Ovis aries: one gene and its partners. The protein of the gene in region 3 interacts with the protein of the main gene of each other region in a pairwise test. Links are inferred from orthologs where the notes say so. Each region holds a gene or a part of one and is shown on either strand. Other genes may lie near its edges.

The links.
Region 1: the proteins of PNMA1 (region 3) and RUSC1 interact in binary tests that used the Homo sapiens proteins (3 or more experiments, as listed by UniProt). The two-hybrid records come from large-scale screens. The link is inferred for Ovis aries from reciprocal best matches to the Homo sapiens genes PNMA1 and RUSC1.
Region 2: the proteins of PNMA1 (region 3) and FMNL2 interact in a two-hybrid assay, tested with the Homo sapiens proteins (2 studies listed by BioGRID). The two-hybrid records come from large-scale screens. The link is inferred for Ovis aries from reciprocal best matches to the Homo sapiens genes PNMA1 and FMNL2.
Region 4: the proteins of PNMA1 (region 3) and HOXB9 interact in binary tests that used the Homo sapiens proteins (3 or more experiments, as listed by UniProt). The two-hybrid records come from large-scale screens. The link is inferred for Ovis aries from reciprocal best matches to the Homo sapiens genes PNMA1 and HOXB9.
Region 5: the proteins of PNMA1 (region 3) and MAB21L2 interact in binary tests that used the Homo sapiens proteins (3 or more experiments, as listed by UniProt). The two-hybrid records come from large-scale screens. The link is inferred for Ovis aries from reciprocal best matches to the Homo sapiens genes PNMA1 and MAB21L2.
Region 6: the proteins of PNMA1 (region 3) and APTX interact in binary tests that used the Homo sapiens proteins (3 or more experiments, as listed by UniProt). The two-hybrid records come from large-scale screens. The link is inferred for Ovis aries from reciprocal best matches to the Homo sapiens genes PNMA1 and APTX.
Region 7: the proteins of PNMA1 (region 3) and METTL17 interact in binary tests that used the Homo sapiens proteins (3 or more experiments, as listed by UniProt). The link is inferred for Ovis aries from reciprocal best matches to the Homo sapiens genes PNMA1 and METTL17.

Annotation. Positions count from the first base shown.
Region 1 is NC_056054.1:105,500,872-105,504,690, forward strand, and holds the end of RUSC1 (AP-4 complex accessory subunit RUSC1), read left to right. Parts: coding exon 1-288; intron 289-929; coding exon 930-1,058; intron 1,059-2,797; coding exon 2,798-2,966; 3' UTR 2,967-3,509; downstream 3,510-3,819. UniProt on the Homo sapiens protein: Associates with the adapter-like complex 4 (AP-4) and may therefore play a role in vesicular trafficking of proteins at the trans-Golgi network. Signaling adapter which plays a role in neuronal differentiation.
Region 2 is NC_056055.1:157,294,023-157,298,307, reverse strand, and holds the start of FMNL2 (formin-like protein 2), read left to right. Parts: upstream 1-1,339; 5' UTR 1,340-1,808; coding exon 1,809-1,925; intron 1,926-4,285. UniProt on the Homo sapiens protein: Plays a role in the regulation of cell morphology and cytoskeletal organization. Required in the cortical actin filament dynamics.
Region 3 is NC_056060.1:83,213,378-83,217,790, forward strand, and holds PNMA1 (paraneoplastic antigen Ma1), read right to left. Parts: upstream 2,835-4,413; 5' UTR 2,020-2,834; coding exon 958-2,019; 3' UTR 176-957; downstream 1-175.
Region 4 is NC_056064.1:37,598,672-37,602,127, reverse strand, and holds part of HOXB9 (homeobox protein Hox-B9), read right to left. Parts: 5' UTR 2,707-3,456; coding exon 2,190-2,706; intron 1-2,189. UniProt on the Homo sapiens protein: Sequence-specific transcription factor which is part of a developmental regulatory system that provides cells with specific positional identities on the anterior-posterior axis.
Region 5 is NC_056070.1:7,409,391-7,413,686, forward strand, and holds MAB21L2 (protein mab-21-like 2), read right to left. Parts: upstream 3,079-4,296; 5' UTR 2,189-3,078; coding exon 1,109-2,188; 3' UTR 512-1,108; downstream 1-511. UniProt on the Homo sapiens protein: Required for several aspects of embryonic development including normal development of the eye.
Region 6 is NC_056055.1:38,142,071-38,146,474, reverse strand, and holds the start of APTX (aprataxin), read right to left. Parts: upstream 2,966-4,404; 5' UTR 2,455-2,965; coding exon 2,387-2,454; intron 1-2,386. UniProt on the Homo sapiens protein: DNA-binding protein involved in single-strand DNA break repair, double-strand DNA break repair and base excision repair.
Region 7 is NC_056060.1:24,448,427-24,452,245, reverse strand, and holds part of METTL17 (methyltransferase-like protein 17, mitochondrial), read left to right. Parts: intron 1-133; coding exon 134-204; intron 205-396; coding exon 397-504; intron 505-776; coding exon 777-845; intron 846-1,574; coding exon 1,575-1,625; intron 1,626-1,857; coding exon 1,858-1,950; intron 1,951-2,175; coding exon 2,176-2,360; intron 2,361-2,435; coding exon 2,436-2,541; 3' UTR 2,542-3,819. UniProt on the Homo sapiens protein: Mitochondrial ribosome (mitoribosome) assembly factor. Binds at the interface of the head and body domains of the mitochondrial small ribosomal subunit (mt-SSU), occluding the mRNA channel and preventing compaction of the head domain towards the body.

The DNA of each region.
Region 1 (3,819 bases), on a different chromosome or scaffold from region 3:
GGCTTCTGGGGAGGCCCCTCCGGGCCCTTCAGCCCCCTCAAGCTCTCCCAGCCCCTGCAGCTGGTGGGAGCAGCTGACCCAGGCCTCCCGGGTCTATGCGTCTGGTGGTGCCGAGGGCTTGCCTCTTCCCCGGTGGGGGTCCAAGCGCACCCAGACTGCAGCTGAGGCCGCACCGGAGAGGTCCCTGCACACAGAGGAAGCAGCACCAGGCAGAGGCGTATGGCTGGGGAGACTGTTTGGAGTGCCTGGGGGCCTTGCAGAAACTGAGAGCGGAGCCCCGAAGTCCAGGTAATGGGGTCCCTGGCCCCCTCCATGACCTCTGACTCCCTCTCAGAGCCCTCAGTCAGCCCAATTTGTTTTTGGTGCACTGGGTGCTGGCAGGATCCTGACCAGGGACTGCGCGCAGGCCCTGGCAGTGAAAGCAGAGTCCTAACCTTTGGACCACCAGGGAACTCCCTCAGTCACTCTTAATTTGAAACTCGGTAGGGATCCTTTAGGTCCGAGGTTGACAGCCTGGCTTTTCTACAGCCATGATGGTTATATTCTTAAGTCATGAACTTTTAACAGTTATTAAATACCTGCATGATATTGTCCACTTTTCCTCTTGGCTCTCAAAGCCAAAAATACTTTCTGGCTCTTTAGAAAAAAAGGAAATATTTGCGGACTCCTGCTCCAGGGTTTGACCATTGGTGGCTCAGTGGCTTCAGGTACTCTTTAGTGACCCTCTGGAGCTAAGCCTGCTGGTTCCGTAGGTCCCTTTGTGGCTTTTGGTGTGGTAGACCTTGCCACACTGCCCTCAGCAGTGACCAATTCCTGACCTCTTGAACCACAGTTGGGTCCCTCAGCCTCTCCCTCCCTCCAAAGTCCCAGATCCTTGGTTATTTTGTGGAGGTGGGCTGACCTCTGTGACCCTTCATCCTTTCCTCCAGGAGACCATCCAGCTGGTTGCCCCCGACAGTGAGTGTGTTGGCTCTGGTGAAGCGGGCGGCACCTCCTGAGGCTCCCTCATCTCCTAAGGAGCTTGAGGTCTCAGAACCTAGCACGGCGCAGACCCACAGGTAAGGAGGGTCAGGGAGAAGCACTGGTGTGCACGTGTTATGTTACATGTGTGGGTTTTTCTGACTTCACAGTGTGGGTGGGAGGTGATGTAGTCAGACAGTGCTTGGTTCGCATTGCATCTTTGCTGTTTATTATTAGTGTGATACTAGTTTCTCTGAACCTTTAGTTTCTTTTTCTGTAAAAAGAGGATACTTTATATTTTTGTAATGGTTGTTATGAAGACTAAACGTGATTTTATAAAAGTATTAGGCACATGGAACATGCCCAGTTACTGGCCAGTTTTATTACTGTATGAGTGTACCATGAATGCGTGTGTGTCCCCTGGGGGACTGGGCTTCCCTTTAGTGGGGCCTTCTAATTTGGCACCAGGGGCTGTGTCATCTTTAGGGTCTGGCTTCTTTTAGGTTCTCAATCCACTGAATTTGGCTTCTTTCCTCGGGGGGCTGTTCTGGGTCTTCGTCGCTGCTCGGGTTCCTCTCTAGTTGTGGCGCGGAGGCTTCTCAAAGCTCTGGCTTCTCTTGTTGTGGAGCAGGGCTCTAGGGTGCAACAGCTTCAGTAGTTGTGACTCCTGGGCTCTAGAGTACAGGCTCAGTAGCTGCGGTGCGTGGGCTTAGCTGCACTGTGGCATGAGGGATCTTCCTGGATCAGGGATGGAATGCATCAGGTATGCATTGCAGGGGGACTCTACTACTGAGTCATCAGGGACACCCCTGAATCAGGTTTCTTGATTTTCCATTCAAGTACTTTTCAAGCACATACTATGCACTTAGCATTATACTGGAGGAGGGAATGCAAAGGGAAACCTGTTGGAATCTCTGCCCTCAAGGAGCTTGTACTCCAGTGGGGATACCAGTTAATAAATCAGCACTTACCATATGTGCTAAAGACTCTGGGGAAGGAAGATAGCCCTTTGAGCCATACAGACAGGGCTTCTTCCTGAGGTCTGGGGACTCAGAGAAGCCTAGTGATGGTGTGGGCTATGAATCTTGCAGAAGGGATAGGATGCCAAGGTGGAGAAGGCAAAGTGCGGTAAGTGAGGAACTATGAGTACATGGCTGGAGTGGAGGATCCTGGCAGTGGTGATGGGGAGGTCAGAGGTGTCAGCAGACCAGTGAAGGAAGCTGGGTATCACTCCAAGGCAGTGGGAGGCAATTAAAGGGTCTTAAGCCCAGGGATGATAAGTTTTAGAAGGATCTCTACTGCTGTGTGGAGAATGGAGAGGGTGGTCAGGATTCAGGCAGACCAGTTAGATATATGCCAGTGGTCCAGAGAGTATAGAGGCCTAAACTAAGATAATGGCAGTGAAGCTGAAGATAAAGAGAGTGGTGGGAGAAACCAACATCAAACAGGTTTTGGTGATTGATTGGATGTAGAGACTGAGATCCCTTTTTACCAGGAATAACTGTATAGGTGATGCCATTTACGACTATAGGGGACCTAAGAGGAGGGACTAGTTTGGAGGGTTAAGATGAGTCATTTAGTTTGCATATGTTGAATATGAAGCACCAGAGAAGTGCAAATTACATTAAATAACGAGCTAAACAGTGGGTCTGGAGCTTAGGAGAGGGCTGGGGCCCCAAACAAATCAGCGTTGAAAAGACTTGGTCCCCATGAGCCCAACTGATGTTTACTGAGCTGAACCAACAGGGACATACATACCGTGGAGGTGGGGAGGTGAGGCTGGCGACAGGCACCCCCACCTCACTTCATTCCAGCGTCTCCCTCTGGCTCCTCACAGGGCAGTCCGGGCTCTCTGTGACCACACTGCTGCAGGACCTGACCAGCTGAGCTTCCAGCGAGGGGAAGTGCTGCGTGTCATCGCCACTGTGGACGAGGACTGGCTCCGCTGTGGGAGGGATGGAGCGGAGGGGCTGGTACCCGTGGGGTACACCTCCCTTGTTCTCTAGGCCTAGCACCTTTTCCTTTCCTGCACCTCTCTCTCCCTTCTGTCACCTGGGAATGGAATGGCCTGTGAATACTCACCCATGTATACTGACTGTCCCCAAAGTACCTTCCCTGTCTGTAAAATGACACTTTCCTCTCATAGCCATTTCTGCTAATATCTAAAATAAACTTTTCCTTCCCTCCCATACCCATCTATAAGGTGAAATCTGCTCTTTGAAAATATATAAAAAGGAATTTCCCTCCATGCCATCTCTTTCCTCTTTCCAATCTGTATTCTGCAAAATGGAAATCTAGCCCCCCTCTATCTTCTTCCTTCGTAAGTGGACTGCACCTCTATATATGCCTCAGTTCCCAAGACTTGAAGGGCCTGTGTAGTCTTCTTCCTGTGTATGGAACCTTCCCCCACCTCACCCATCCCATGTTGCCTGTATTTATGATGTACTCATGCTGGACTAGGTGCTGAAGTCTGGACACCCCTGGTGGGTGGGCCTGTGGTGTTGGTCTGTCTCCTTCCTCCTTTGTCCCAATAAAGAGTGGGAGTTGAATGTGTCGTCACTGTGGGTTTCAGGACATAGGCTATGGGGGAGGGGTGGGAGGCTGTGTCTTGGGGAGCCCAAGGGAGATGCTTCTTTCCTAGCTGGGTCTAGTTCTGTTCCCTGAGAGGTAGCCCCTGATTGGTGCTGACTCACTGAAGTGCATCTCTAGTCTGAGACTTGATTGCTTTGCTTAGACTGATAAGTAGGAGCCTGAGTAGATACGGGAGAGCTGGGAAGACTTAGTCCATGAAATTGTACTTGCAAGCTTCATAGCTGAGGTGATGGGAAAGATTAAAAGGTGTTAAAAAGGGACACATTT
Region 2 (4,285 bases), on a different chromosome or scaffold from region 3:
AAACCAAACTATAAGTGATTTACCGAAGAGACCATACACACACATGATGTATTTGTGTATATCTGCTCCATAGGCTTTTGGTAAAAATTCAGTAGTTATTGAACATCCACTGTGTTCAAGTCATCTTGAAGTTTATAAACCTGAATGAAACATGATTCTTGATGCCTGAGTTTTGGTGTGTTACCTCATTTAGAAGCAGTTGATTTTTAACAAGAGGGTAACAACTCCAGTTTTATATCAGAAGCACCTGGAGGGCTTGTTAAAAATATACCTGTCCCGGCCCTAGCTCTTAGCTTAGGGAAATTCTGATAATAGTCAGGGCCCATCCTGCAGTGCAGTTTTAACAACCTCCCTATGTGAATCTGATACAGGAACCAGGATTAAGAAACACTATTTTAAGCTAAGAAAGGACTAATCACAGGACTGCAGCCACAAGTCAACCAGGTGGGTACCCTTGAAATCTACAAAGGGTAATGTGGCTACACGTTTTCTAAGGCTGTCTCTAATTCCACTGTCTCTGAATGGACAGAATAGTTGTAAGAGCACTCAGGAAGGGCAGGGTTGGGCCCAGTCTTCTCTGTAAAACACCTGGAACAAGAGTGCTATAGAGGAATAAAACAGCTACAGCCAAAGACCATCTCCAGAGCCTTTTCAAATGCTCTGTTCTTATTTCTCATGCAAAGCATAGTTGTGTAAATTTTCTCCTTCATTTGACTGGAAAGTCTTTCTCTAGTTAAGGAACACAGTAACCCATTTGTAATAGCTTTTTGACAGATATTTGTTTTGAATCCTCCTCATCCAAATCCTGGGGTCTGACCAGGACGTATAAAGGTATATATCCATCTGAAAGTTTGTAAATATCCATAAAAGTACATTTGTTTATAAAACATTTCAACTGCACAAAAGAATATGTGAATGTGTAACATACACAGGGAAGAAAGAACAATATAACAAACACCCATGGACCCACATCCCAGTTTATGACGGAGAAAGTTGCCAATACCCATGAGGTCTCCTGTTGAACAGCTCCTGAAATTTAAATCAAAATGCGTGCATTCAATCATTGACTGGTTAATTCATTCACTTGCCAAATGTGCCCGATTGCCTACTAATCAATGTAGGCGATTAGTATCTCTTCCGTTGGAGTGGCGTGGGGGTGGGGGTCAAAAGTGACACTTCCCGAAGGTGCTCAGATTGCCTTTCCTGCAAGCGGCCCTAACTCAGCCGGGCCCTCCAGAGAGGGCGTGGTTTCTGCGTGCAGACACTTTGGGCAGAAACTACTGGTCCCGGCAGTCCGCGGGGCGAGTGGGCGGAGCCGGGCCGGGGGCGGGGGCCGGGCGAGAGGGGCATTGTGTCGGGAGCGCGGAGCTGCATTTGTCTGCTCTAGGTGCTGGTCGAGCCACCGTTGTGATCGCCGGCGTAGAGCTGGAAGTGTCAGCGGCGATCACTGTCCCGGCGGGAGACCAAGTCCGAGCAACCACGCTCCCGTTGGCCGCTATCGCTGGCAGGGGGCGGCGTGCCAGCGGAGCAACATGCAGATAGGCGCCCAGCGCCCTGACGACCCCTCCCGAGGAAAGGAGGCCGGGGCGGCGCTGGGGCGGCGGGGAGCATGAGGCAGGCCGGGGGCGGCTCGGCTCCGAGCGCTGCTAGGGAGCGGCGCGCGCTGCACACTCGCCGGGGGCGCAGCGGAGGGCGGGGAGCCGGGCTGGTTGCGCCAGCGGGCGGGAGCCGGCCGCCGGGAGCTGTTCTGATTTCCGACGCGGACGCAGGGGGCCCGGAGTAGCCCCCTGCCCCGGCGTGCAGCCAACATGGGCAACGCCGGGAGCATGGATTCACAGCAGACCGATTTCAGGGCGCACAACGTGCCTTTGAAGCTGCCGATGCCCGAGCCAGGTGAACTGGAGGAGCGATTTGCCATCGTGCTGGTGAGTGCGCGGCGGCGGCCGGGAGCCGGGCCCCGGGGCCCCAGACCAGGCGGTGCAGCTGACCCCCGCCCTCTCCCCTTCTCCGCGCGCCGGGAGCGAATCCCCGGTCCCAAGGGGGAGGCGCCTGCTTCGCTTATTGTGGCCTCCCTTGGCCTCCTCTCGGTCCTCCTCCGATCTCCCCGCGCCAAGCCTTCTTGGGGTCCCGGAATGGGGCACGGGTCTGGGGGTTGGCTGACTGGCCGGCCCCGAACCCATTGTCTGGCGGGAGAGGCACCTCGCAGCGCGTGTGTCGGGGAGGTGCGGCGTGGGCGTGAAGGGAAGGTGGCGCGGGCTTGGAGGAGGGGGCGGCTGGCCGCTAAGGCTTTTTGTTTAAGAAAAAAACTCCCCTCAAAGCCCGAGTCCTCGAGAACCATCCAGCGGGCGCCCAGCCGGGGCCCTGCGGGGTACGGGGCTGATGGGCGCATGTGGCGGGTTGAGGGCGGCGCGGTGCGCGAAGGCGAACTTGGAGGCGGACGTCTGGCTTGGCAGAGGGGAGCTCCCCCAAAAGGGAAAGAGAAGGAAACCCGCGGCAGTGCGGCGTCCCCGTCCCTAAGCGAGGAGGGGGACATCTGAAACCGGCGCGAGAGAAGCTTCGCCTCGGCGCGTTCCTTTTCGTCTTAAAACAAACCACAAAAATGTGCAGTTTTGCGGGGACGTGTTGCAAGCTGTCCTGACTCTAGGGATCCCTCCCCTCCCCTTACCAAATCTCCGACTCCCTCTCTCGGAATCCCCTTCTCCTAGCTTTCCAGCTTTGTAAATCTGAGACACTTGAAGACTCTCTTCTGCCTTTCCTTGCTGGGTGTAAGTTTCTGGGCCCCTCCCAGCCTGAGCCTGTCAGTGCTGTGAGCTCAGGAGGGTGTGGCGGTCTCCCCCTCGCCCCAGCCGGCGTCTGGACCGCAGTTAGTCCCCAGACTTCGACTTTTAGTGTCTCAGCCTCTCTTAAGGGCTGTTGGGAGGGAAACATAAGATTCGACGCGTTTCTAATACTTGCGCTCGTACAGTTGCCTTTTCCTAGCTAATTACCTGTACATCCTACAATAGTAGGCAGCAAGAGAAACTTGTGCTTAAGGCAATCGAATTTCGCGTCTGCATACGGGGTTTGGGCATGTAACCTCCCAACTTTGGGGATTGACCAGAGTCTGAAGAACACTGGGACGTTTAAAAAGCCTTTCTTCAGGCTCTTGAAAAGGACTGGTTTAATATGGGGACTGTTCTGGATGGCAGATTAGCTTTGTGCTCTTTGGAAGAAGAACCCACGAGCTTTTTCACACCACCTGGAAACTCCGGCGTGGCAGTCTGGAGATAGATGAGGCTGCCTGTCTTGCACTCCGTGGTCTGAGATCTCACACAGCTGCTCCCATTGTTGTGCAGAATGAAACACTCTGAAATGGAACTGCATGGGCTTAATTACTTTTGAAGGCAGCCTGGGTGCAAACTTGACCTGTCTTTCCAGGGACAAACCTTTTTGGTTCAAAATCCTCTTCCTACCAGACTACATGGTTCTTACCTCCTAGCCTTGGGTGTTCTGTCTTTCTGTCCATGCTGTGCTGGGTGGGTGTGCGTGTGCGGGTTGTGTGTTCTGGGGGTGGGTGTGTGTGTGTACACTGTAAGTGGGAGGGCCAGTGACGCAGGCAAACCAGATAATAACAATAATGCAATTAAGTTCTCAACTGGGATAGCATGTTTTGCATGAGCTTTGAGTTACCCTGCTGATTAATGACACATGGTATGAATTACCCTTTAGGAAAATAATGTCCCAGCATTAATATGGTGGATCTGTTACTTTAAATCTAGAAAGCACAAATTTAGTATATAGAAATTCATGTTTCTACATCACAAGTTCTTTGGAGCAGTGGTTACTGTGTAGCTTCTTTTACTCTGTCATACACAAGCACTGGATGCAGTTCCTTTCCTTAACTTTATAATATTTTACGCCTTTCAAAACAAATGAACAACAAAACCAAAAAATACCAGGCTGACCTTTTTCAGGTTAAGACAAAGCTTTTGGGAAAGTATCAGCTTGGGGGCCCTCTTGTTAGGGATGCCCTTGGACCATTGATGTGGTATGCAACTCTCCCTAGTCAGCTCCAACTGCCCTTCAGAATTCTGTATGGGGAGTTAAAAGGAATCCTTTTTATGGGCTGATAGAAGTACGGAGTTCTGGTGACTTCTCTTGTAGTCAATTTTTTTCTAAAGGTGTCCATGTGATGCTCTCAACTGTGCTTTTTCTTCATGAATTACTTAACAAATCAGCTAAAACCATTTAATTCTGGAGATCAAGCTTGAAGGACAAGTTATAGGTTGTAATGTTCAAAGCATGT
Region 3 (4,413 bases):
AATTGAATATATTGAAAGGTACTGAAACTTTAAATTACATAGTATGATATAAAGCTTAAAGTAAAAGAACTGAGGTTTGGGGTTTTTTTCAGTGACATGGCGAAGTCTTCCGAAGAAGATCATAGAGCTTAATTACACTGAAAGTTTTCATACATGTCAGAAAAACAAGACAACAGAATTTTTAAAATATTTTTATTAATAAACATGTGCTTGATAACTTCAAATTTAGAACACTTAGAACCAGCATGAACAAGGTAAACTTCTTCAATGATAAAGATTTGAAATGGGGGAATAGATACTGAGCTGGTTCATATTAACCTCCCTGTTCTATTCGTATCTTGTTCAGTGAAAACTTGATTTACACAACTCTAAGTGCAGTATTTCTAACAACTCCTTTTGCAGCCTCAGAACACGTCTCAAACTGATCTAGATGTTTAAAGATGAAAAATGAGAAATTTGCACTGTAAAGTTGAATAATATCTAATTCACATTTCTTTCCATTAATATAAATCAGAAACAATTTACAGTAAACACAAAAACTACTCACAATAGTAGTAATAACAACAGTTCACATTTTTACTCAACACTTCTTGTGTGAGCCAGGCCGTGCACTAAAAACTTCTGAACATGCAATTTCACATTCAGTTACCTCTGGGAAGTGTCACGAGTTCCCATGGTTTTCACAACTGATGATGATGACGCCATGACAGCTTGCAGCACTGACAATTTGCACTGTCCAAGTCTCTCCCTGGCATTGTGGCTGACATGACTCATACTGCAGCAGCTCTGGTGCTGGCTTGCAAGCTTTTACCAATGTTAACGTGAATATGCAGGCCTGACTTACCCCAGAAAAACCACGCTAAGTCTTTACCACTAGGTGACATACCTGCAGGACAGCACAGAGACACGAAAAGCAGCTGTGATCTAGGTCTGCACTAAAGTCAGTTTTCTCGGGACTCAGAAGTGCCCCTCCAGGCCTAACTGCAAGAGGGCGGCTTCAGCCGCCTCCTCCTCTTCCTTGGCCTCCTCCTCACGGATCTGCACAAGCAACTGGAAGAGGTTAGGGGCCGGCCCTTCCGCAGCCCCAGTCAGCCATAGCTGCCTTCGGATGGCCCCGCTGTGGTTGGCCCCGGCAATGACTTGTTCCAGGCGGGCTTGGTTCACGTTATCTTTATCTATGGCTCCCTTCTCCACCACTTTCTGCAGCAGAGGCTCCAGACGAATGACATAAGCAGATAATTTTTCTCCCGGGTTCTGGTAAGTGTTCAGAAATCTGACCTGCACATCCCTGGAGCTCTCCACGCTTCCAAACACCTGCTCAAGCGCCTTCAGGCATTCGGCGGTGGTAATATCTGGGTTGTTGGTCTTGAGGATGCGGATGACATCAGCAGCAGGGCCTCGAAGACTCTCCATCAACCGCCGCCTCTTTTCTATATCAGACACCTGCCACTCCTCAATGACCTCATTAGCGTGCTCCAGCCAGGGCTCAAATGTCTCCTCCCCAGGCCCCGGGATGTCCCTCCCCGAGAACAACGTCAGCTTCTTGTACCATATGGATTCTATAAGAGGCTTAATAACATTATCCAAAATATAGTTTAGCATCTCTGCTGGCATATCTGGGCCTGGGGCCGGAGCGGGGTTCTCAAACCCAAGGACACGGGCAACATCTTGCACAGTCCATCCCTCTCGGGCTAGGAAGAGATGCAACCTTTCTAGAAATTCAGCGTCGGAAGTCGGAGGCTTAAAGACTACTTTCCAGACCCCTCCTTTACCCGGCATCTCCCTAGGGATGGCAGCGTAATCCACAGTTCCAGTGAGCTCTAACAAGGCTGCTTTGGCATTCTCTTCCCTCCAGAACATTCTCCCAAGCACTCGATAGTGCACCTGGGGCATCGCAGCCTGGAGGGTCTCTTCGATTTCAGCCTCATCGCAGTTCACCGGGATCCCCCAGACCAGCAGGGCTCTCTGGGAATTCACATCCATCCCTCTGCACCAGTCTTCCAACAGTGTCATCGCCATTTTCCCCAACTATCAAGAGCCCCTGATAGTTGGGTTATCAGGGGGTTAGATAAGTTAAGACTGTGGCTCCCTGTGCTAAAGGACTTAGGACGACAGCGGACACTCCCCTGCAATTTGCCCAAGGGAGTCAAGCTTCAAGCAATCACAATTAACAAACGACACCAGAGTCCAGCTCTCGTCCTTTCACTGCCTCCACCAACGTCCGTCCTCCGCGTCCTCGGAGCGAAACTTGGGGGATGCTCAGTCACGCGCCCAACGCCATCTCGTGTCTCCGGTCGGCGTCCGCGGGCCGGGTCCCGCACTTGCAGGCAGGGTGTCGTGTCTCCGCGCAGAGGCCCGGAGGGAAGGCAGGAGGAGAAGGCAGGAGACGCCGCGCTCTGAAGAGGCCGCCGGGGTGTGATCCCGGGGCGTGGCCGCCAGTTCTCCGCAGCCCAGGAGCCGACCACTCGCTGCTGCCCCTCCTGGCATCAACCCGGCTTCCGCGGTCAGAGCTCGGCCTTCAGGCGCGCGAGGAGCCGCTCCTCTGCAGACTGCGAACTGTGCCGTCCCTGCAGGGGGAGACTGTCCAGAGGTCGCAGCGAGGCCAGCCCAAGAGCGGCTTCTTCGCTGGCGCAGGTACACCTCTCTGGGCGGCGAGGACAGTCGGATACCCTGAGCACCAGCAGCCGAGGCGCGGGAAGGAGGCGGGAGCGAGGCTAGAGGCGGCGCCGGCGAAGGCAGGCCGCAGCGGCTGCGCGTGGGCTGCGGCGAGCTGACCCCGAACGGCGTTGAGGGGCTGCCGGCCTGACCGACCCGCAGCCAGCCCAGGCGTTACTGCCGCAGCGAGGGGCGGGGCCGGCCGACGAGTGGCTTTCGCCCCGCCCCCGCAGCCGAATCCTGCGCGAGCGTAGCCAAGGCAACGGCGGCCTGGAAGACTCCAGACCCTGACGCTCCGGCTGCCTGCGGTTGCCATGGTGCCAGCTAAGGGCCCGCGGAGCGTCCTCTGATGGCGCATGTCCTTTTTCATTTTCCAGATTTTTTTTCCTTTTTAAACAAAGCACTGTGTTTAAAAGTTTAATATAATTCTGGAGTGCATTGAAGATGATATGAGTCTGTCAAGAAAGACTTAACTCACGTCGCTCCTTCAACCAGTCCAGTTCAGTCGCTCAATCATGTCCGACTGTTTGCGACCCCATGGACTGCAGCACGCCAGGTCTCCTGGTCCATCACTAACTCCCAAAGTTTGCTGTTTAAAAACAGATGCAGTACCAGCCGATCGATCGCACTGTGCACCCTCCGCGAACTTCATTCCAATAAGACTAAAACGCTGGAAGTGTGCAGTGTTCTCCTGTCAGACACTGAGTTGAGCCTTTTTCTTCTAAAATTTTGTAAGATCTAGATCTATTAAGTAACCTTTGTAGCCAGGCAAACGCTAGTGTGTTATTTCCCCTGTCCTGGCATCACTGACAAAGGGCTGATAAAACAGAATGCTTATGGCTCAAAAATTTCAAGTAATTCCTTGCAAGCAAACCAAGGCCAATTTACGTCAATCCTAGATGGTGAAAATCTCCCCTAAAGGACACAGCATTCAACTATGAATTTTTAAAACCTTATTTAATAAAAGGTTTAAAGATACAGAAGAACATTCAAAAGTAAATAAGTTACATAGGTACATTACAATCACATCAGCAAGATTTTCTTTAGTGTGTTAATTTTTTTTTTTATAAAAAGCACACAAAAAATAAAATCTTCCGTCTGGTCTATCACAACTGTACAGCAAAAGAGGTAATATTTATATATATGTACACTATTTTAATATGTAACAGTCTTTTTAAAAAAGGGTGCCACAGGCAGCAAACACACAGAAGGCAGTGTCTGATTTTTTTTTCAAAATAAAAGGAATATACTTATTTATATGCTATTAAAATATTTGTACAATAATTACAGACTGTCAAGGCTGTTCCTGTGCTCTGTCCCCTCCAACAAGGCCTTCGACTGAGAGACAAATGAGGAAAAGGTGAAACAGCTGCAAATTGTTAGAGGCAAATATTAACACAGCAAAAATATGGGGAGGACATACAATTGTTTTATAAAAATATGCATACTTCCTGTAAACCTAAGAAGTTAGGCTTGCCAGTCTGGTAATAAATACCATGCAAGAAAAGTGAGCCTCAATAAAAACATTTAAATAGCTGAGGCTTGAATATGTGTTGTATTCCTCCTTCATCTTAACATCTGGCACGTGAGAAGAGGTTAGGTCACTGAGGCAGTTAAATATATGGGATCCCTTTAGACATAAGCAGCACACGACCTCTGTGCCAGGGTGGAAGTGGGCAGCAGAAAGGATGGGTTGTGTACCTTAGCTGTGAAGGGGGTGGCTGAAGGCATGGAGGACAGTGCTGAAGCACTGTCTCC
Region 4 (3,456 bases), on a different chromosome or scaffold from region 3:
CTTCTGCCCAGCCAAACTGAGGGACCTCCTGGGCCTCCAGTCCAGTGCACCCTCCTGTCTTAACCACAAGCTTGGGTCTCTTGGCCACATGGCAGCAGGCATATGTATCTATGTGATAGCTCGCCACCCCCCCCAACACCACACACCACAAATATGGTTTGCATTTAGAGACGCAAACATTCAGCACACTCCAATTCACATGCAACCCAATTACAACCATTTATCACCTCCAGCCTGTGGACAAGAGAGCGCTGAGGGCTCACAGATAACTTATGGTTGCAATAGTCTCCGTTTCCGCTCCTGCTCATCTCGCAGTTTGGTTAAAGCAAGTTCAGGGAAATTGGGACGCAAGATTGCTCCAGTCCCAAGGTGGGGAGCCATGGATCATGTGGGGGTAACAGAGGTCCATCACAGCACACCTAAATCCAACTGGCTTCACCCGGTGAGAGGGAACAGAGAAAGGGGAGATTGAGGGGAAGTGGGGGATAAACAGGAAACAAAATATATACAGGCTTCTCTTCTCCTTACCCCTGAACTCAGAAAAGTTGCTAAATAAAGCAGAGTTCATTAAAAATAGCAGCCACCCTCTGCTAGATTCCTTCATCTCAAATGAAAAGCACTGAATTTTTTTTAAGTAATAATAATCTGGTTCATCCTACACTAAGTACCCTGTCTTACCAATTTGCAGTGCTATTTCCTTAATGTGATTGCCTGGGATGTGACCCGAAGTCACATTAAATATGAAAGAGGAAAAAAAAAACTGTTAATAATTGATCCTAGCCAAACTGCTGCCTTGCAATAATGGACTTTCCAGGCAGAGTTTGGGGGCCTGGGGTGGGGGGTCTGCTTGGGTGTGAGTAGGGAGGCTTTGGGAAGAGCCGTGTTACCCAAATGTCAGCTCTTGTGATCCCACCTGGCAGGTTGGAAGGGGTGACCTGAGGGAGTAGGGCAGCTCTCTTCTCTCCAGCAGGCAATAAACCCCCAAAGGACCCTTGGGCCACTCTGTTGGTGGGAAATCCGGTAGGGCAAGCAGAGACTTTAAAAATCTGACCCTCATTCTTTTGAAAAAGAGTAAGGGGTGAGGACTTGTCCCCACCAGCCTGCAGGTTATTGTTTGGGGCCTAAGAGCTCCGACCAACTTGCCCTTCTTAGCCTTAAAAAACGAAAAATCCGAGACACTTTCTGATCTCCTTAAGGAGCAGCATCTCCTGGAAATTAGTCCGACTGGGGTTCCTGGAGGGGGTGCATTTGGAGGGGTGGGAGACGGTGAGAAACTACCTTCCGAGGATAAAGTTCTCCGCCTCTCCGCAAGCCTCTCTTGCCCCCACCCTTCCTCTCCCCAGGGTCCTTTCGGGATCTTTCTCCACGCCGCGGGTCGGCCCTGAAGTTCGGAAGCGATTCCTCGACTCCCCGCGAGGCGGACAGCTCCGGCTGGGGCTAGGGAGCCCTGCGGAGAACAGCGGGAACCGCAGGAAAGGAAGCGGCGACCCGGGCGAGGATGCCAAAGGAGGGGAGGGGGCGACCGGAGGGAAGGCTCCTGGGGAGGGGCCGGCGCATCCCGGGAGGGGGCTCAGTCTCCGGGTCCTGGGCTTCCCCCGCCCCTCCCGCCTCCGGCTGCGGACCCTGAGCGGCTACTGAGCGAGATCTGCTAGGAACAATCCTCCGCCAAGCTGTTGCATCGCAAATAAAATCCTAATGAGCCCCCTCCCACTTCCCCTTGGCCGGCTTTTACGGTGTGCGCGTGGCGCGGGGAGCCCTGCCAGCCGTGCAGGGCCCGGCTTCCCGGCGCGCTCCCGCCCTGGCCCGCGCGGGCTCTCGGCCTCGCCGGCTGCCTCCCCGGCCCCGCCAGCTTCTCTCCCAGCCGGCGGCTGTCGGCCTCTTCCCGGGCTTTCGGCCCGGGCCTCCGGGGGCGTGGGGGAAGGGAGACCGAGAGAGCCGCGAGCTGGTCCCTGAGCCCCGGGTTCCCGCTGGACTTGACGGAGTGGGGCGGCGCGCCTCCGGCGGCCTCAGTCTCCCTTTCTGGGGCACCCAGCTGCCTCCCTTCCTTCCTCCGTCTTCCCTCCGCCCTCGCCTGCTCTCTGGCCACCGCCGCGGTTTCCCTTCACATTGTCCGCAGTTTATTGCCTCTCCCCTCCCCTCCCCCTCGCCTGGCCTTCGGCCTGGGTATTTCCTCACTTTTTATAACTTACTTTGATCCGGCCTCTCTTTGTCCTCGCTTCCTTCGCAAATTTTATTGTCCCCGTAGCCGGGTCTTTGATTAGACAGGACAGCCTCCCTGCCCGCCGAAGTTTCCAAACTGTACTCGGGCGTGCCCTGCTTGAGCAGCTCCCCAGGCGCGCCCAGCAGCGGCTCCGCCTTCACAGCCGCCTGGCCCTGCCCCGGAGCAGCTTCGCCGCGCGGCGCCGGCTCCAGCCAGGTGCGGAGGTACCTGCTCTCGGCCGGCGGGACGCCCTGGGGCTGGATGTAGGGGTGGTAGACGGACGGCAGGCTTCCGGACGTGTGCGGGCTCAGCGGCGCCCACGATGCGCCGAACACCGGCGCTTTGGGCTGGAAGCTGCACGAGGGGAACTCCAGGTGCTCCGCGTGGCCCGGCTGCCGGGGGCTCGCGTACTGGCCGGAAGGAAACTTGGCTGGAGGCGCGTCCTCACTCTCGTGACTTATGATCGAGTCGACATAATAGCTGCTAAGCGTCCCAGAAATGGACATTCTCAGACATTATCCGGGCGCTCGCAGGGGGAAGGGAAACGCTCGCGCGCGGCGCTCAAGCAGGGAGAGGTGGCACCCGGACCGGTGTGAGGGCTTTCGGACGCGACCCCCCCAGCCCCCCACCCTCCCACCCCCACCCCCTGCTCAACTTCTCAGCCAACAAAGTACAGTGGAGCAGCCCGGCTCAGCGCTCCTTGCAAAATGATTGGTCAAAGTTTTTCCGACTGCCTGATAAAGCGTCAGCTCCGACATAAATCAATCGGGCGAGGGGGCTGCGCTCTCGCTGTCATACGTCCGCACCGCATTCCATATCGAGGATGGATTGTTTTATGCTGATGCAATGTGCTATCACGTCAGGGCTCCGGCGGCCACGTAACCTCAGCCCAAGCTGCCGGCCGCCCGCCCCCCAGCCCCCTCCCGCTTTTGCAGGAAGGGGGGCAGTTCTCGACGTGGGGCGGCGGGGGCGGAGGAGAGGCGGAGGGAAAGCAGCGGGCTGCCTCGGGAGGGACGCTGGCTGTGGAGCCCTCTCCCTAGGCGGGTCCGAGAGGGAGCGCAGGACACAGGGAGGGAGCGAGCTGCAGCCAGGGGAGCGACCCGAGAGGCCCGGGGCATAATTAAAGAAAGAGGAGGTGGTCCCGGCCCCTTCACTAACACACCTCCACTCCACCCCGCCGGCCCTAGTTTCCTCTTCTCAGTCCCTTGACGCAATATGTTTATTAAACAATAGCGCGGCAGCAAGCCACTGGAGAT
Region 5 (4,296 bases), on a different chromosome or scaffold from region 3:
TGATTTAATTGTTAAGTTTGTATTGTTTAAAACTTGAAGAGAATAAATGATTGGAGGCTAAGTATTAACTCATCGTGTTAACTATTCAGAAAGGATCCATAAATGCTTCTTTTGTAATTCAGGCTTGGGATTTTTAAAAATTATAGCATAAGAGAGCAAGTCTCTTAATTTTTAATGTGAAAAAACTTTTTCTTTTAAAGTTAGGATCAGAATTAGTTCTTCCGTACAAAATCTGTTCTTTTTTCAAGTGTGAAATAAGATACTACTTTTAATCTGAAAATCTACAGAACAAACGTATAGTTGTGTAAAATTAAAATTTTCCTTGTTCTGAATATCTTGGTGGAAACTTGAATGGTTAAATCTACAAAATGTTCTACATTTGTAAATTTTGCAGACTGGAGTTAAAATGGAAGCTTCTTGCATTTAGTTCCTCAAGTTCACATCTTTATATTATAAACTATAAACTGTGCTCTCACCTGCCTTCATTTAAGAACAATCCACAATCAGTCAATTACAACGTAAAGTCATATTTTTATTACTGTTTTCAACAAGACTGCTTAGGGTGAGGGAAGAGGTGTGGGAGAAGGAGGGGCATATTTGACATTGGCACTGAGATACAGTTAACATCAGCAAAACTTTGTTTTTAAAAGAAGAATTTTACATATAATTAAATACTTTTTTTTTTTCACTTGGTGACAACATTCAGGCAACCCAAAACAAAGTGGGGAGGATGGGAGAGGGAGAAAGAGAAGAGGGGGAGAGAAGGAAAAGGGAGAAACGACTATATTTTGATTTGAAAATGTACCTTGGGTTTCATTTTGTGGTGGCAAAGCCCGATTGCTTCTTTTGTGTGACCTTTTAAATTCACATTGTTTGGAAGAAAACGATCACTTTTGTGCAAGAATGTGATTTTGGTTGGGTGGTGGGTTTGCTCTCCTTTTTGTTTGCTTGTGAATTAAGGAAGTCTTCTGCCGGGTTCCGTTCCTCTTAGGTGGCTGACAGGAAAAGTTTGTGTCTGGAGTTCTCGCAGCTTGTCGCCGAGTTGTGTGTCTGTCGTGTGTTCGAGAGCATTCCCATCCGTGTCGCTTTTCAAGCAGTCCCCAGCGCGCTATAGTTTGTCCAGGCTTTTGGGATTGGTGAGAATCTCCCTGGCCAACCTCCAGGTCTGCTTGGCAGCGCTCTCCAGGGCCGAGTGGGGCTTGCCCTGGAAAAGGTCGAGGTTGGGCAGAAAGTAGTGGGGGCAGCGGCGGCACTGCAGGCAGGAGATGAGCTGCAGCAGGATGCCGTTGAGCCGGTCCCCGAGGCACGCCTCGTCCCAGTCCGTTTCCCGCGGATGCTTCTCGCACTCGTACAGCAGCAGCGTCTTCATGTGGTAGTTATTGAGCGGCTGGCCGGGCAGCTCCAGGTGGCGGTCCCGCAGCGTCTTCAGCACCGAGAGACACTTGTTTCGGCAGCCGCCCATCAGCAGACGGTTTTCAGCCTCCCCAAACTGGAGCACCCAGGCGTCGCTCTCGGCGGAGCTCTGCTTGCCGGTCAGCGAGTAGCACTCCTTAGAGAGCAAGTTGAACCCTTCGGCCTTGACCTCCGCCACCCGATTGGGGCCAGGCCAGGGGATGTGGGGCATCGGCCACTGTGCCGCGCTGCGGGGCCAGATACCGGTGCACTTGAACGCGGGAGTGATTTGCACCACGTAGCGCTCCCTGATGCGCAGCTTGACCTCGCTGGTATCCGCGATCATCTTGACCACATCCCGGTAGCTGCACTTGTCCACCGCCTGAGCCACCAGCGTCTGGAAACGGGAGCGGATCTTGCGTGCCGAGAGGTAGCCGGACGCCGTGATGAACTCGACCCAGAGAGACATGCTCCGCTTCCGCCCATCGCTCAGTTTGAGCACCGCGCAGCCGGGCAGCGAGCCGTCGTCCACGAAGTTGAAGACGCCCATCTGGTTTAGGTAGAGCACCACCTCGAATTCCGTGGGCGAGATGACCTCCAGACCCTCGTAGCGGGCATCGATCTCGCTCAGGGAGCTGATGAAGCGAGGCTCCTGCACCTCCACCTCCTTGAGCACGTCCGAGACCACCTTACAGACCTCTCGGATGGTCTTGGCGATGGCCGCCTTGCGCGCCTGGCAGCGCTCGGTGTAGTATTTATTGAGCTGGTAAACCAGCTTGGCCTGAGCGGCGATCATGTTGGGGCACAAGTCCGGGCTGTACACCGGCGTCTCGCAATACGTTGAGGGATCCAAGGCTCACGCGCTGGTGGTGGCCCTGCGGCTTGCGAAAGAGGCACTGCGCTCCCCTTGAGCCCCACGTTCACTCTTGTTTCCACCTGGGCTGACCAGCTGATGCTTCAGCCGTCTAGCGCTTTCTTTCCCCTCTTTTGAAAGCTTTTTTTCTTCTCCAGAAAATAAGAAGAAAAAAAAAAATCTTTGAAAAAGAAAAGTACCTGCTGGGACTTTTTTTCCCTTTCTCTTGATAAGTGAAATGAAGATGTGCCTGCGGGCAAGATGAAGGGAAAGAAGGGGGGTGGGGAAAGACAGGGTGAGACGGAAAAATTCAGGTTACCAAGAGGTTAGGCTTAGACGTCTGCAGCGGAGATGGTCCAGAAATCTGGAAATGAGGTCTGTTAAGTGCCGAAGTAAATTTAAAAATAAAAGGAAAACATTCAGTGTTTCATTCTTAAACTTCTCTCCCACGCTGGTAGTACTTCTTTATTCAGCTTAGGTGAGTGCTTTTCTCCTCACCGTCCCCCAAATGGAAGGTGAAGGGTGTAATTAATGTCCAGAGAGCAGCGAAGTGCAACTCAGTCCGCAGCACGCGCAGAGGTTCTCAGACGCCTTGCACTCCCAGCGTGTAGGTCTGCTCTCCGCTCAGGGGGTCCTCTGGTAGCGGTTTTCCTCTTTTCCTACTGGAGGCGTTGTTTGGACTGGGTTGGCTTGTTTGCAGTGGGTTCTTCTTGTCTTTCTCTAGGTGCAAACCTCTGGAAGTTCTTTGATTTTCATTTCTGCTTCGTAATTTATAAATTTGGCTCTCACAGAATCTGTTTTAGTGTGACGAAGTCCTTGCTTGCGTTGCATCTGGGGTTTAGTTATAACGACTTCAGGATTTTTCTTCTCCTCCCCCTTTAGGTTGCTTGTGCAGATTCCACTTTCTGAGTCGTCTCTCCCTCCTCCCCTCCGATCTCTCTCTCTCTCTCTCCCCTAATCTCTCTCCTTCTCCCTCCCTCCCTCCCTCTCCCCCTCCCTCCTTTTCCCTCCCTGTCTTTTTCCCTCTCTCCCTCTTTCTCTCTCCCCCCCCCCACCCAGCCCCCCACCCAATCTCTCTCTCTCCCCTTGCTGTTTCCTGGAGTTATTTAGTTTATGAATGGTCCTGTACCATCATGAGGGGGGTGGAGCTTCAGTTCCTACAATCGCTATCCGAGCTGTCAGTGCTGTAGCCAATCCCAGAGAGAAGACAGGCATGCTTGGCAAACAGTAGCAGCCACCGCTGCCCTTGATAAAGAAAGGGAGGAAAGAGAGAAGTAAGAAAATAGGAGGAGATAGTGGAAGTCAAACGCTTACACACATCTTACAGCCCCCTCTTCTTTATCGTCCGCTCTTATCATTTGCCAGGAAGAAAGAGTATATAGAGAAGGGACTTCTTGGAGATGGCTGGAATGATTCAAGGGAGAGTGGCAGTGGTTCAGAAAGGTTCACTTTTTTTTTTTTTTTTCTTTCCTATCAGCATTGTGAAGAAGGTGCAAACTCTAACAAAATTACTTTCGCTTCAAGGCAAACGGAAGGAGGAAGGGAAATCTGGGAAAGGACCTAAATTTTTCTAGATTTTCTCCTCAGGCAGTCTTCCTTTTCTTCCCCTCCCCTCTCATTGTTGCCAAGAACCCTAGCAATTGCTGTATGTGTGCGCCAGTTGGGCAGTTGTTGGGGAGGGGGGGGGTTGGACATGGGGTGAAGGTTTATAATCGTAAATCTCTTTTCAGTAATTTCCATATGCTGTTGAAAAACAAGGCAGGACACAAATAGTGCAAGTACCTTGTTTTATAATTACTTCATAATTAAGATTAAGATATATTTAATATTAATTGTTTCAAGAACTAACTTATTAGAAAATATGTTTAAGTTGTGAGAAATGGTGCAGATTTATATATGGTAGAATTTCTTTGGATATACTTTTAAAATAAACCACTAAAATTTTAAACTTAATAAAAACGAAGGGAAGTAAATGTGAACCTGAGTTAAAGTTTTCTTAAAATGTTTATGTTACAAATCTAATTTTGAGTATATTTTTCAGGCAGTACAGA
Region 6 (4,404 bases), on a different chromosome or scaffold from region 3:
GTGGGCTGCCATCTATGGGGTCGCACAGAGTCGGACATGACTGAAGCAACTTAGCAGCAGCAGCAGCATGCAAAAGGTGTTGTGGGAGCACAAAGCTGGAATACCCAACCTAGCCTTGGAGAAAGGTGTCAAGGAAGGTTTCCTATAAGAGATGGGCCTAAATTGAGACTTATATATGAACTGGTTAGTTAGGTGAAAGTGGGCAGCCTAATTAGCTGAGGAGCAGGAAGTGGAGGAAGGAATCAAAGAGAAGATTCCAGTCAAAAGGAACAGGACAGTGTACACGCATGAAGAAGCAGTTCAGGGTTGCTGCAACCTAAAGTATGAGGTCAATAAGAGGCTGGAGATGCAGGCAGGTCCAGATGAAGCAAAGCCCTGGGTGATGGGCTGAGAAGCTCAAACTTTAGAAGCTCTAATGGATTTTGCAATTTAGTAAACAATAAATATTTGCTTAATGAAAGAAAAGATAGGGTGAATGAAATGACAGATCTTTAAATATTATTAAGCAGGACTTTGACTCAGATTTGTTTTCAAGGATCACTTGGGGCAGGATGGTAGGTAGTTAAAGAATAGTTATGCAGGGAATTGATCTAGAGACAGGGAAACCAGTTAGAAGGCCATCATATTTCAGGTGAAAGAAGGTTCAAAGTAGGACATTAATACAGACAAAAAAAGAACACAGATTTAAGAACTACTTAGAGGGTAAAATCAACAAGACAGTGATGGATGTGCTAAGATTAAGTACAGAGAAGACAATATTTGAACAGTCTGTGGGACTAGCAAGCAGAGGTATCCAGCAGGGTAGCCAGAGGTAAGAATGAAACTCAGCAGAGGTCTAAGCTGACACTTTAATTTGGGAGCATACAGGAAGGAGTTAAAGCCATGCTAGTTGACGTGCTCATTCAAGAATTGTGTACAGCATAAAAAGAATAGTGGGCCAAAGTCACAAGCCTTGGAAACACCCAACATTTTAGACAAGGAGGGAGGACTATCCACAGGAGAAATTACTGGTGAGGGAAACACTCGGGGGGAAAAAAAGCTAAAATGTAAGCTCTTCAAGGGAAGGAGGCACTTTGACATGTTCATCTGTATATCACAATAAATGTTTGTTGAATAAATCAGCTTAGTGTACTGTCGTGAAAAGCAAAGGAGTAAAGAGTAAAAAGTATCACCACGTTTGCAGCAAAAGGATCCAGTAATGATCGGAAGTGTCAGTCGCTCAGTCATGTTCGACTCTTTGTGACCCTATTGTGACCCACCAGCCTCCCCTGTCCATGGAATTCTCCAAGCAAGAATACTGAAATGGGTTGCCATTCCCTTCTCCAAGGGATCTTCCCAACCCAGTGATCGAACCCTGGTTTCCTGCACTGCAGGCACATTCTTTAGTGTCTGAGCCACTAGGGAAGCGTAATGATTAAAGAACGTATATTTGGTTTGATAATAAGTCACTAGTGACTACTGTATAAAATTTTAGGGGAATAACAGATCTGAAAGCTAGATCGCAGAAAGGAATGAGAGGTGAGGAATTGGATACAGAATTCACAATACTCTTCAAAAAGTCTGGATAAGGAGAAGAGAGTTACTGTATGTGAGCTAAAGAAAGATGGATCACCAGGAACTTTTTCTTTCTGGCTTGGGGGATAAGGAGCAGGGATCTGAATAACCTGACCTTGTTTATACATGACTGGGACACAGACAAGGGAAGAAAAGACAAATGAAAGCCCCGGTTTCATAGGTGAAAACATAAAAGAAAGGTCAGAAGCAAAGATAAAGAAATTTGTTTTGATCAAGAGACAGATCATCCTCTGATATTGAAGGAAAGGTATAGATAGGTGGTATCAACTTTGACGAGTGTATGAAAAGAAAGCAAGGGTAGAAATTTGAGGGAAAGCACATCGGATGAACTCAATTTTCTCCCTAAAATAGCAGATAACAACAAAGTAAGGTGTCTGGGCAGTTGAGAATCAGCTAAAGACAATCAATATAAATTAGTGGACAACATCCAGACCTCTGAAATCCAACTGCTCACGTTCAAATCTTCCCTCCACCACTACTCACTGCATAATTTGAGGCCAGTTATTTAAACTAAGACTTCTTCAGCTGGAAAACAATATTAATTATGGCTCTACACCACACTGTTGTCACAAGGGCTAAATTAAGATGTAAAAAGTTCGGCACCTGGCAAAAAAACAGCATTCAACATCATTACCACTCTCGTTAATAGTGAAGAATAGGCGCTATAAGGAAATGTTAAAAGATCATCCGACAACACTGCTTGCAGCGAAGGTGACAGGGCACAAATGTTCTGTCTCCCTGAACAGAGTAGTCCTGTCCTCTGTGTTCTAATGGCTCCCGATATATATCAAATTCTCAAAAGGCTCCAAACCTGGACCACATTAATTCCACATGGAAATTATAGCCTTGATTTGTTGAACCGCTATCATTGGTCTGCATGAGAAAAGGCTTGATTCTTCTGGTCTTCCTACAAGGCCAGCTGTGGATGCTGTGAAGGGCCCTCAAATTCTTCTCAAGGAGCGTTTCTGGAGAAAACAAAGTCGCTCCTGACAGGCTGCGAAGCCTCCTTGGGTCAGACAGTGCCCACTCTCTAATCTTTTTTCTGCTTGTGCTCTGACTAAGCTAGGTTCAGGTGTCAGGCGCATAGGTGAACCAACGCGAAGTGCAGTGGAGACCAACACGAGCGCCGCCAGCCGCTGAAACACGGCAGGAGGGAAATGGGCAGCCCTGGGCCTTAGAGCCCGAGGATGGAGCAACGCCTGCTTGCCTGCCGGGAAAGAGCCGTGAGAGCGTTATTCAGGGAACATTACTCTGGGGTAGAGGTGGACTCGATGCCCACACTCACGGCTCTCAATACGGCAGGAGACGAGGTAGGCCGACAACCGCCTTACCTCCAGATGGCTGAGGCCAACAAGCTCACGTTACTCCTTCACTTCCGGCGCTGAGGGATGACGTTGCAAGACAAACTGGGGCGCAACCTGTGACGTTTCCAGTGCCTGTCGGAAGACTGACTGAGGATCTCGCTAGATGCCCGGATGGGGAAGTGCCCGCCCCATTTGGTTCCGAACTGGGCAAAAGTCCAAGTTTGGTTCCTGGCAGTTAACCAAAAAACGACGAGTTCTCTCAGTTCCCCTCTATCCGAGAGCCGCTCCCCAGTCACCACCTCTTAATCTCTGAATTGGGATACACTTCAGGCAGCTATCCTCTCGGTGGCCGCTTCTAGGCAGCCATGCAGCATCTTGATTTTCGCTTTCCCTTCATAGGGAAAAGCTCCGGAGAAAGCAATGGCACCCCACGCCAGTACTCTTGCCTGGAAAATCCGTGGACGGAGGAGCCTGGTAGGCTGCAGTCCATGGGGTTGCTGAGAGTCAGAGGTAACTGAGCGACTTCACTTTCACTTTTCACTTTCATGCGTTGGAGAAGGAAATGGCAACCCACTCCAGTATTCTTGCCTGGAGAATCTCAGGGACGGGGGAACCTGGTGGGCTGCCGTCTATGGGGTCGCACAGAGTCGGACACGACTGAAGCGACTCAGCAGCAGCAGCAGCAATAAGGAAAAGCTCACTACTTTTAAAGCCACCGTTTCCGCTGTAGACAGTACCTGCTTGTGGCATTGTTTTCCCGCACGCTTTCGAAGCTACAATCGGCTTTCTCTTTTTCTGAGTGAGAAAGGTCTGAAGGGGCCAGAAGTGGAGAAACCTAAGATTTTTTTAATGCTGTCTTCACTGAATGAACTGGCTGAGGGGCTGTCAGGGAGGAGAATAGCAAGATGTTGGAATGAGATGTTTACTGATTTTTATGACAGTTCCAGGATGTTCCCTAAGAGTCATGAACTGCAAGAATTCAAAGGCATTCTGGCAGATGGAAAAACTGTGTCTCTTTTCTAATATCGTTTCCTTACATAGAGATTTAGGACTTCCCTGGTGACTCAGACAGTAAAGCATCTGTCTACAAGGCGCGAGACGTAGGATGAAGATATCAGCTATTAAAACAGAATAGGAGGATCTTCCAGGAAACAAGGGAGAGCTGCCCTTGTTGGCAGAAAAGATGCAGGTTTATATTAAGGTCACACCAGGAAGTGCGGGAGCACAAGGAGCAGCTCCGCGGCTGCACAGGCCTCATGGCAGTGGAATGTGGTTCACACTGTTCCAGGTAAAGAGAGGCTGTTGTGGTGACCCGACCAGTCTTGTTTTTCCCTCAGAATTAAGCACTTTCCAAGCATCACAGTGGTAAAGAATCTGTCCGCCAATGCAGAAGACACAATTTTGATCCCTGGTTGGGAAGATCCCCTGGAGAAGGAAATGGCAACCCACTCCAGTAATCTTGCTTGGAAAATCCCATGGACAGAGGAGCCTGGTGGGCTATAGTCCTTGCGGTAGAAAAGAGTTG
Region 7 (3,819 bases), about 59 Mb from region 3:
GACAAATGACCCAATATTCCCCCTGCCCTTTTTTTCAGTTGTCTACTCTGTTGCATCTCATCCTCAGCTAGCATTTTGTCCCTTCAGTTTATACCTACAGTCATATTTGCCACATCTCTACTTTCCTCCACAGGTGGTTCAGGATCTGGGATGCCTTGTGTTCCAGGTGTCTTTTTCAGACAGTTTCTACCTGTATCACCCAAGGCAAGTGGCAGTGTTTAAAGTATGCCAAATGTGGAGTATGCAGATGGAAAACTGTGGTCCTGGCTTTACAACCTAGCATTGAATGTTAGAAAGTAAAAGAAAGCAGAAGAAATTTAGTGGGATAGACCTTTGTTGTACTCTTTAAAAGACGGAGATGTCAAGGTCGGTCGTTTTCCTCGTCTCGTGCACCAGGTGCAATTCGATGTGGTGGTAGCAGCCTTTTCTCTCAGTGAACTGCCCAGCAAGGCCGACCGCACTGACGTGGTCCAAACCTTATGGCGCAAGACAGGTCGTTTTCTGGTAAGTGGAAGCCCTTTTTTCCCTTCAAGTTTTTAAGCAGCTTCATGGGTCTGTTTCATGCCTTTCCTGTCCCCATTGGAGCTTGTCTTCGTTTTTAACCATTTTCATCCTACATAGATCCCTTGTCCCTCTTTTCAGGTCTCCATCTGCATCATATATGTAATACCCATTTCGTTTAGAATCCCTATTCTATTTGGGAATGCTCTTACAGAGCTACTGACATTCATGTTTTCATGTAATTCAAGGCTTCTTACTTTCCCTTTTGTAATCAGGTATTGGTAGAGAATGGAACAAAAGCTGGGCACTCCCTTCTCATGGACGCCAGGGACCTGGTCCTTAATGTAAGGTTCTTTTTCCTTCTTTCACCTTACCCTCCTTTCCCCACTTATTCTCACCAGTTCTTGGCACTCCCTTGCAAACTGAAGGGACTGGCATATAGTAATAAGGATGACTCTGGAGATAGTAAGCACATGAAGTCATGATATAGGGTAGTAGTTGGCAAACTCCAGCCTATGGATCAGATCCATACCTGTTTTTATATGAGCAGTGCTTATATAAACATACCACCTGTTTTTATATGAGCAGTGCTTATTTGTGCATCTATAACCATGTGTCTGTGGCTATAGGTCTGTTGCCTGTGGCTATTTTCATCATACAGATAGCAGTAGGAAACAGATTTTTGCCTAGTCTCTGGACCTTTAAAAAAAATTTTGTTTTTGCCAGCCCCTGATCCAGGGCACTTCTGAACTAAGAACCTTATCTGTTTAGGACCGTATGAACCAGTGTATAATCGCAAATTTCACTGTCTTGAAATGGGATATTTTTTTGAGAGTGAAGGTTACTGACAAGGGAGCGTACCATACTATGTGCCAAGTTTCTGCCTTTCTCTTGCTGCAAAGAGAAAGTTGTTTGTTTGGAGTATTAGAGAAACAGCCAGCTTAATTCAGAACATAGTTAATAATTACCAGAATTGAATGTTAGAGGAATCCTTAATTTATTGAGTGCAGAGATTGAGTTAGAACAGACCCCTCAGCCCAGCCTAAAATTTTTTTCATTTCCCTTGATTTCAGAGAAAAGAAAAGTCACCTTTGGACCCTCGACCTGGTTTTGTCTTTGCCCCAGTGAGTATTACTTCTGCCTTTCCCTGCAAGCAAAGATCTGAACTCAGGGCTAGCCAGGAAAAGAGGGCTAGCCACCATCCTCTACTCTTAATTCCTCAGTGATTCCCCTGGCTTGCCCTTTCATCTGCTCTGTGCTCCTTTATCCCTAGCCCTTCTTGACTCTATTAGTCGTAGTTTCTAGGTTTTATGATCTGTGGTTCTCTTGTCTTACCTCATGTCTTTGTGTTCACAGTGTCCGCATGAACTTCCATGTCCCCAGTTGACAGCCTCTAAGCCCCTGGCCTGTAGCTTTTCCCAGGCCTACCATCCCATCCCCTTCAGCTGGGTATGTACTCTGAGAATACTGTGGTAGGGAGAAAATAGCCTGGGAAAGCACAGTAGAAAAGATTCAGAGATGGGAGGATTTGGGAAATTCCAGAGAATGCTTGGAGGTTTTAGGGTCTGAATATATATGACTTATAGAATATGAGAAGAGTCACAGGAATGAGGTTTGAAGAAATTTGTTTTCCCTCGTCTTTTCCCGCAAGCCATCTCTGTCTCCTTGTCTTAGAACAAGAAGCCAAAAGAAGAAAAGTTCTCCTTGGTAATCCTTGCCCGAGGATCTCCAGAGGAGGCCAATCGCTGGCCCCGAATCACTCAGCCTGTTCTTAAACGGCCACGCCACGTGCATTGCCACCTGTGCTGTCCAGATGGGCATATGCAGCACGCTGTGATCACGGCCCGCAGACATGGCAGGTGTGGAGGGTGTGACCAGAGTTAGTGGGAGGCAGCGAGAGCCTGCAGCCCACGTTGACCCTCTCTTTTCTGTAGGGATTTGTATCGCTGTGCCCGGGTCAGTTCCTGGGGAGACCTTTTACCTGTGATCACACCATCAGAACTTTCTCCATCTCCTGCTCAAGATGCGCCTGAGAGTTGACAACGGATGTGGGACAAGTGTTTTCTTCTGTCTTGACGGCTGAAGCTGAAGCTACCTGGTGTCCAGGATGGGAGTGCTATTACTGTTACGGCAAAAAAAAAAAACAAACTAGTTCAAATATTCTCCATTATAGCAGACCATATTCTTTGAGCTTACTCGGCCATCCTCTCGTGTCAGGAGACATTCAACTTTAAGGGATCCGATATGTTGCATTTTCTTCCTTTGTGTGCCATTTGTCAAGGACTCTGTTCCTTATCAGTTCCTGGGATACAGGAATAAGTAGAGCTGCATGCAGTTCTCAGGACTGCTGCTGCTGAGTCACTTCAGTCATGTCCAACTCTGTGTGACCCCATAGACAGCAGCCCACCAGGCTCCGCCATCCCTGGGATTCTCCAGGCAAGAACACAGGAGTGGATTGCCATTTCCTTCTCCAGTGCATGAAAGTGAAAGTGAAGCTGCTCAGTCATGTCTGACTCTTCACGACCCCGTGGACCGCAGCCTACAAGGCTACACCATCCATGGGATTTTCCAGGCAAGAGTACTGGAGTGGGGTGCCATCGCCTTCTCTGTCTCAGGACTTCTCTGTCTCAGATCATGGGAAAGAGCACCTGCTTGGATTCCCTTCAGTGACTCCCTTCAGTGACCTTGTACTTGTTAGACTATCAATTTTGTTGCAACTGGTGGAATTTCATTCTTTTTAACGGCTGAGTAATCATTTTACTGAAGATATATAAGCATGCATTTCTTATACGCATGCTAATAAAATACTCTTGCTCCACTAGAGACTTGGGTCCCCCGCATCCTTCTTTCTGTCTCCAGCTACTTCTTCAGAGCATGGAAACCTAATGAACTCACTTTCTCACCCGAGCTTTAAAGACCTCCTTGAGAGGACACGCTGTGCCTTCGTGAGTGGTACAAGTCCTATGTATGGGCTTTATTGGTTTTCCACGTAGCCCAAGGGATATTGCCCTTTCCCTCTCTTTCTCTCTTTCTTTTCGTCGACTCCAGTGCCCAGGTCCTGGTCTGTAAAAGACCGCAACAAATGGCACCTGAAACATGGACATGGTATTCACCCTTGGCAAACTGGATGGAGTGACTGGGACCTACAGAGGTCGGTAAGTGCGGAGTTACGGGACAAATGTCTGGAAAGCCCCACCATTTTTCTACTTTACTTCATCATTTAAGGTTCAAAGACTTTTGGTTTTGTGTCAGTGCATAGAGGCATGCCTTCAAACAGTGGTTGAATATAATCCCTGGTTCCCTGATGAAGGCAGTTTT